2 linked regions of the Rattus norvegicus genome follow. The protein of the gene in region 2 purifies or fractionates together with the protein of the main gene of each other region. This does not show direct contact. Links are inferred from orthologs where the notes say so. Each region holds a gene or a part of one and is shown on either strand. Other genes may lie near its edges.

Region 1 (4,276 bases), on a different chromosome or scaffold from region 2:
TGAGGTTTCTCCATGCCCAGGGTGGTACCATTCACCCTTTGTTTTCTCAGAGTCCGGGTAGAAGTGGGCGGGAGTTTACAAGAAGTTGAAAAATTCAAACATTAATCCCTTCTTGCACAGTTGGTGCCAAGGAAGAAGGAACAAGGGAATAGTTGGTGCCTATATTGAAGCTGGCTTAGATTTTTGGCACTGATTGTTCTGTCTGATTAAAATCTAACAAAATATTCTCACCGAGAAGCCAGTAAGGATCTCAGAAGGAAACTGAGGTCAAGCAAGGCTGGGCTGAGAAATCAATTCTTCCAACTCGCAGGCCGGCGTCATTGGGCATGAAAATGCTTGGCCTTGCTCAGTAAAAGGGGCACTGAAACCTTGAGTTGAATGTCACTTGCTGGGTACTTCAGCAATGCTTGTCATTAAGCTTTAGGTGCAGCCCTCCCAGTGCTTCTTGAACTGTGGAGATCCACATTCCATTTTCTGTGAGTCCTAGTGAGCAGTGCCAAGAACTGGCCGGAGATGTTGACTTAGGGATTTTATGTAGAATGAATCAATGAAGACTCAACATGACTACCCCCTAGGCTGTCTGTGGGCTATCTCCTGCAGGCCTAGGAGGATGGCTGGGAACCACTACGTGCTGGAAGTCACTGCAGTAACATGTGGTGTTACAAAGGCTGTCCCGGCACTTGGGACTGGAGTCATTTTCCTCTGTCTGTCTGTCTTGCTGGTAAGATGAGTCATTGCTACCCACTTTGTGGGGTTGTTCAGATTAAGTTAGAACCCCAATATTATACCCTCTTTTCTATTTCTATTGAAATGGAGTCTCACTGTGTTGCCAAGACTGGAGTCCCATTCCTAGTCATAAGTAGTCCATTGGCTTCATCCTCCTAAGTAACAAGCTGGGATTATGGCCCCTGTCACATCGAACTAATTTTTCTTGCCTCTAACACCCAAGTTCTGGAATTACAGGCGTGCATCACCATGTATGACTGCTTTCAATAAACCTCTTGAAGGCAGAAATCACACACACTGATTTTTTGCAAGTCATTGTAAATGTGTAAACTATTTATTACATTGGTGCTCATCCATCAAATGGAAATAACACCGCACGTCTATCCTTGAACAGTAACTCTGAAGGCCTCTGTCAATTGTGAATGTGAGGGCTCAGAATAATCACTGAGAGCAGTGCTTCCACTCACAACCGTGTTTAATCAGAGTTACGAATCTAGGCAGTCCCCAGGGCTAACCTCTCTGCAGCAACCTTAGAGAGGATCTTGCTAGTTGGCGATTTGTTTTGTTTTCTCCGAAGTCCAGCAAAGTTAGTGTAGGAAAGATCTGGTTTCAATTGGAAGGTGACACACAGGACCTAGGAATTGTGAGGCGGACTCTTTAAGGACTGGGATGGAAGGGCGGGGTCGTTGTTAGGGACGCGGCGGAGACGGCTGTTTCCAGGAAGTGACATCAGCGGCCGCGGTGATGGACGATTTACTGGATCTGGGAGAGGAGAAACGTCGCAGCTCGGCCACCTCCGTGAGGAGCGATGCTGGGGGCTGGGGTCCGGTTTGGCGGGTGGGACAAGTGGCCCGGCTCTCTGAGAAGCCCAGAGTCGGGACAGACCCTGGCCCAATTGCCCGAGTGCGAATTCCACCTTAACGGAGGGTCTGACCCCGCTCCGACCACGCCCGCTCCCGCCCTGGAGTTTTCTCTAGGGCAGTCTAGTCCCGGAAGTTCTGAAAGAGACTGAGAAGAGAGCTGGCTGGAGATGTCCTTTCCTCATGCTCTCTAATCTCTGCTCCCCCTCCAGGATTGGAAATCAATACTCCATTTTATTATGTGTAGGGGGTTGGGGATGGGGAGAGTAACTAGGTGACAGATCTGTTGATGGACCAGAATACACCTAGCCTCGACTTCCATGCTAGTGTTGCTGTGCAGATGAAATGGGGCGATTCATGGAAAGCATTTGCAGCAGTTCGTTGACCTTCCTGTTGTTTCCTCCCAGCCTATGACCGGCGTTTAGCCAGCAAATAACAGAACTTGATTAAAGACCCACATTCAGTGTTTTCTTACTGTCACAGTTCCCCCACCAGGTCTCGGTGCCCACCAGGTCTCGGTGCCCACCAGGTCTGGATAGCCTTTAGAGTTGGTTGAAACCACTGAAGAATTGGGCCGCCTGTCAAGTCCTTAGTTTCTGATGTAAAATCTCAGGTGCCCCGAAGGGCCTTGGTACCATCTTATGCCCTCCAAGGTTCTAGAGAGGCACCTATTGGAGGGAGATAAAGGGGCAGAAGTTAATAGAGCAGGGTTTTTAAAAAGCTACGGGCATTAGGCCACCAAGTCTTTCTGATACACGAACCTTTTTGGTACCTGGGATGTGAATGTAGTGACTATTTCATTCTTTCCACAAATATGTAGTGAGCCCTGCTGTGGATCAGGCGCTGTTCTGGGCACTGGAGAGATAGATAGCAGAGAACAGACCACCGGCCTTTGCTCTAGTTGAGGGGGAGAAGGATAAGGGGGAAAAGACAATAAAAAGTCTGCCCTTAAAATACATGACCTCAGGTTTTCTATGTGTGAATTTTACAGGGTCTTCAAATAGTCTCAAACATTAACGGCTGATAGAGAAATCGCTTGTCAAGGACGTTTACAGACAGGATCATTTTTGTTCAGGGTAACTACTGTAGAATCAGATACTTGGACAAACAAAAGAGGGTATCTTTCTAGAGAAAGATATGAACTGTATCATCAGAAAAATTATTCCCGTCACCCTTGAAACTTCAAAAGATCGGCCTTGTAACTTGAAGAGTTGATGGTTGCAATTGGATGGCCAGATTCCACTTTAGTGATTTCTGTCTGTTTAATGTGGTTCTCCGGAAACCCTAGTCTCCCTTCTTAGAACACTTAGCACCAGGTTTTCAGTGGGGTGCTCTGGGGATGTGGGACGAACATAGGATTTAAATTCGAACATTACTTAATCACCGTCCTGGCTTCCATCGGTCTCAGTCTTTGTCCATAGCATCTTGAGACTGGAGCACAGCCCCGGCAATGAGACCTGAAGATGTTATGCTGGTGCTGGTTTTGTTTTGTTTTAAATGATTGCACAGATACTCTTCAGCACCCATCAGTGTGCCTCAGAGTTTCCTTTTGTTCTGGGGAGTGTTGGCAACAGAGGCCCGACCCACTTGGAGGGCCTGGGGACACCTGCAAATGTTTCGTCTGTTGACTCAGAATCCTGAGGTGCTCACTTATAGCTGCCAAGGCTGCTGTCTCAGCATTCCTGTGGTAGAGCTCCCTCCATGCCTGTAGATGCAGATCTAACCAGCAGAGCAAGAGGTGTCTGGATTACTAGGCTGCCATAGAATTGAGGAACTCTCTCTTAAAGCCTGTTAGCTGCCTCAAGTCTAGGAACGTGGGAGCCTTTACCACCTGCTCTGGGCTATATGACTTGAGGTCACTGCCCAGGCTAGCTGCATTTCTGTTTGTCATCGACAGAACAGGACAGAACAGTGACTTTGTTTTTGCAGTAACTGTGGCTGTTGAAAATCTCACGATCAATAACCTGTATGTTTCCTATTCTACCAAGTAGATCTAACTTGGGTACTTTCTCATAAAGGTTTAGAGAATTCTCTATGAATATTTCCACTTGATATATTCATATATCATACACACACACACACACACACACACACACACACACACACACACACACACACGTTACTCAGATCCTGTTCTCTGCTATCCCGTAAAAGCCCAGTCCTGGCTTACTGTATGTCATACCCACAGGGCCTCAGGTGACACTGGGTCAGCTGTACTCTCCGTCTCTCCTTTCAGGGGGCCAAGATGGGACGCCGAGCTCAACAGGAGTCGACTCAGGCTGAGAATTATCTCAACAGCAAGAATTCTTCATTGACTCAGACCGGAGAGGTGAGTGTTACAGAGATGTGAAACAGGAAGTCGTGGATACATGCATGCTCTTCAGGAATAAACAAACCCTTAGCGAGCAGGGCTGTGGCATCCTATATTTGTTTGGAACGCCAGTCTTTCCATGCATGTGTCTCGACTTGGATGTTCTCTTTGAGGACATTTTTCCTACTGGGAACATCTTTCCTTTGAGGCTATACTGGCTTCTGGACTTTTTTTTTTTTTCATATTCATAGTATCCAATTTTTTTTTTAAGGACAGGGTCTCAGGTGACTGGTGTGGAACTCACTGAGTAGCTGAGGATGACCTTGAATTACTGAATCTCCTGCCTCTACCTCATGAGTATTTGCTCTGTCGTTTGTAG
Region 2 (3,612 bases):
TTAATAAATGGGACCTCAAGAAACTGAAAAGCTTCTGTAAAACAAAGGACACTGTCAATAGGACAAAATGGCAGCCTATAGCATGGGAAAAGATCTTCACCAGCCCTACATCTGACAGAAGACTGATATCCAAAATATATAAAGAACTCAAGAAATTAGACCTCAAGACCCCCAAAAACCTAAATTAAAAATGGGGTATAGAGTTAAACATAGAATTCTCAACAGAGGACGCTCTAATGGCCAGGAATCACTTAAAGAAATGTTCAACATCCTTCATCATCAGGGAAATACAAATCATAACAACTTTTGAGAGTCATCTTAAACCCATCAAAATGGCTAAGATCAAAAACTCAAGTGACAGCACATGCTGGTGAGGATATGGAGCAAGGGGAACACTCCCCCATTGCTGGCTGGAGTGCAAACTTGTATAGCCATTTGAAAATCAAGTTGGTGGTTTCTCAGAAAATGAGGATAGTTCCACTTCAAGACTCAGTTATATCACTCCGGGCATATACCCAAAAGATGCTCCATCATACCACAAGGATACTTGCTCTACTATGTTCATAATAGCTTTATTCATAGTAGCCAGAAACTGGAAACAATCTAGATGTCCTTTACCCAAAGAATAGATAAGGAAAATGTGATACATTTACACAATGGATATTACTTAGCTATTAAAAACAGTGACATCATGAAATTTGCAGGCAAATGGATAGAACTAAAAAAGATCACCCTGAGTGAGATAAACCAGACCCAGAAGGACAAACATGGTATGTACTCACTTATAAGTGAACATTAGTCATAAAGCACAGGATAACCATGTTACAATCCACAGATCCAAAGAAGTGTAGTGAGGATGGAGAGAGAGAGAAAACTGGGGAAGGAACTGGAATCAGTGGGAGGCATCTCTGGGATGAACTAGAAACCTATGACAGTGGAAACTCCCAAAAATCTATGAAGTTGACCCTAGCTAAGACTCCTAGCAATGGAGATATGGAACCTTAAACAGCCCCTCCTGTAATTAGTAAGACTTCCAATGAGGGAGGGGACACCAACCCAACCATAAAAACCTTCGATTCACAATTTGTCCTGCCTACAAGATGGGGAGGAATAAAGAGGAGCAGAAATGAGGGAATGGCCAACCAATGACTGGTCCATCTTGAGACCCATGCCAAGAGAGAGAGAACACCCCACACCTGACGCTATTAATGATATTCTGCTATAACTGCAGACAGGAGCCTAGCATAACTGTCATCTGAAAGGCTTCACCCGGCAGGCAATAGAAACAGATGCAGAGACCCACGGCCAAACAGTAAGTGGAGCTCAAGGGACTTTGTGGAAGAGAGGGAGAAAAGATTGAAGGAGCCAGAGAGGACAAAGACACACACACAAAAAAATCTACAGAATCAACTAACCTAATCAAGTAACGGCTTGTAGGGCGTCACTGGGACTGAACCACCCACCAGAGTGCATGCATGGGATGGACATAGGCCCCCTGAACATATCAACAGATGTACAACTTTTTTTTTTTTTTTTTGGTTCTTTTTTTCGGAGCTGGGGACCGAACCCAGGGCCTTGTGCTTCCTACGTAAGCGCTCTACCACTGAGCTAAATCCCCAGCCCCCAGATGTACAACTTTATCTTCACGTGGAACCCCTAACAGAAGGAGCAGGAGCTGTTTGTGACTCTGCTGTCTACCTTTGGATCCCTTTCCTCTAACTGCTGCCTTGTTTAGCCTCAATAAAAGAAGATGCACTAGTCCTACTGCAATCTGATATGCCAAGGCAGTTTGATATCCATGGGAGGGCTCCCCTTCTCAGAGGAGAAAGGGAGGGGTGGGGTGGGAGAGGTGAGTGAGAGGGAGGGACTGGGAGGAGAGGGGGCAAAGCTGCAATTGGGATGTAAAGTAAATACATTAACTAACTAATAAAAAGAAGCTATTTCACAGTCATAACATCTTTATTCTTTTGTTTTTATTTTTTAAGACAGGGTTTCTCTATGTAGTCCTGTGTGTCCTCGCACTTGCTATGTAGACTAGGCTGGCTTCGAATTCATAGAGATCTGCCTGCTCCTGGGGGATCAAGGGTATGTGCCACCATGAGTGGCCAAATCATCTTTATTCTAATTAATGGGAGGATTACACACAACAACCATAAAAGAAATAGGGTTTTTCTTTCATAAGAAAATTAATACAGGTGTAGGTTTGTAATCCCAGCACTTAGGAGGCAGGGCCAAGAGGATTAGAGTTCAGTCATCCTTACCTACACAATGAACTCCAGGTCAGCTTGGGCTATGTAAGATCTTGTGTCAAAAAACCCACAACCAAAGCAAAGCAAGACAATAACAAGAACTCATGGCCAGGCATGGTGGCACACAAATGCCTTTAATCCCAGCTCTTAGGAGGCAGAGGCAGGCAGATCTCTGTGAGTTCTAAGCCAGCCTAGTTTATATAGTGAGTTCCAGGACAGCTAGGGCTACATCATGAGATCCTGTCTCAAAATGAAACAAAACACCAAAAAGACAACTTCAAAAAAAAAGGGGAGGAGGATTCATCATTGTGTCTCCAAAATCAGAACAGTAAACACTTTCAGCAGTAAAAGGACAGAGAGTCACATTTCTCAGTGCAAACTTCAAAAATAATTGGAAGACAGCAAACAGTAACATTGCTCAGTGATTTAAAAATAACTACAAAGTTGGGAATTGCTAATTACACTGATGTGACCAGTACACAATGCATGCATCTGTTAAAATACCATTATGTGTGTGTGTGTATCCATATATATACATCCCAATAAAAGTGCAATTACTGACATTAATAAAATGATACAAAATGACAGAAGCGCTAAGATCACCACTTAGTAAGCGAAGGTGTCCTCACCTCATGCCGTTGTCCAGCTGGCTGGTTTTATTTGTGTTGGCGTCCCATAGATAGATGCAGCTGGACTTCTCAGCAATCACCGCCAGGATGTCACCATCTTTGTCCCAATCCATGGCAACACAGTTGCTTTTAGGAAAGAGGATGCCATTACTATCCATGTCTCGGACGTCAGACGGAAGAAACAGACACCCAGCCATCTATGACTTCCTTCTCTGATGGATCATGATATAGAAGCATAAGCCAAATAAATCCTTTCCTCCCCAATAAATCCTGCTTTTGGTCATGGGGTTTTATCATAGCAGTAGAAGCTCTAGTTAGCCTAAGTTGGCAGCGAGATAGTGAGGTACTGTGTGACGGACAGAACTATGCTGCTTTGGGGAGGACTGTGGAAGGACTTTGGAACTTTGGTCTAGAAAAGCCACTGAGAGTTTAAAGCTTGGTGAGGTATTCTGTGGGCGTGCGGAAGGTAGAGATATAGGGGGTGGAGGCCCGGCTTCTGCAGTTCTGAGTGTCAAGAACTTTATTTGGGCCAATGCACATTCTGAGTGAAGCTCAGCTGAGGCTTGAGTCAGCTGTGGTTAACAAAACTCCAGAACCACCTTTGCTTTGCTGGGATAATCGATGCTGGTTCGCTGAAGCTGAGACATTAGCAGTGATTTAGAAGAGACCAGCATCACTGAAGTAAAATTTTCTGGAAGTGATTCCTCAGCACACAGAAGCTGTGTTCCAGAGGC

Evidence for each region. Proteins that work in one complex are often made in the same cells at the same time.
Region 1: the proteins of Wdr19 (region 2) and Ift43 purify together in Homo sapiens (affinity purification with mass spectrometry; 3 studies listed by BioGRID and IntAct, counting the BioPlex papers as one, with this or other methods). This does not show direct contact. The link is inferred for Rattus norvegicus from reciprocal best matches to the Homo sapiens genes WDR19 and IFT43.

Annotation. Positions count from the first base shown.
Region 1 is NC_086024.1:111,459,312-111,463,587, forward strand, and holds the start of Ift43 (intraflagellar transport protein 43 homolog), read left to right. Parts: upstream 1-1,439; 5' UTR 1,440-1,470; coding exon 1,471-1,524; exon of another isoform or gene 1,525-1,534; coding exon of another isoform or gene 1,535-1,549; intron 1,550-3,822; coding exon 3,823-3,915; intron 3,916-4,276. UniProt on the Homo sapiens protein: As a component of IFT complex A (IFT-A), a complex required for retrograde ciliary transport and entry into cilia of G protein-coupled receptors (GPCRs), it is involved in ciliogenesis.
Region 2 is NC_086032.1:43,449,929-43,453,540, forward strand, and holds part of Wdr19 (WD repeat-containing protein 19), read right to left. Parts: intron 3,005-3,612; coding exon 2,879-3,004; intron 1-2,878. UniProt on the Homo sapiens protein: As component of the IFT complex A (IFT-A), a complex required for retrograde ciliary transport and entry into cilia of G protein-coupled receptors (GPCRs), it is involved in cilia function and/or assembly.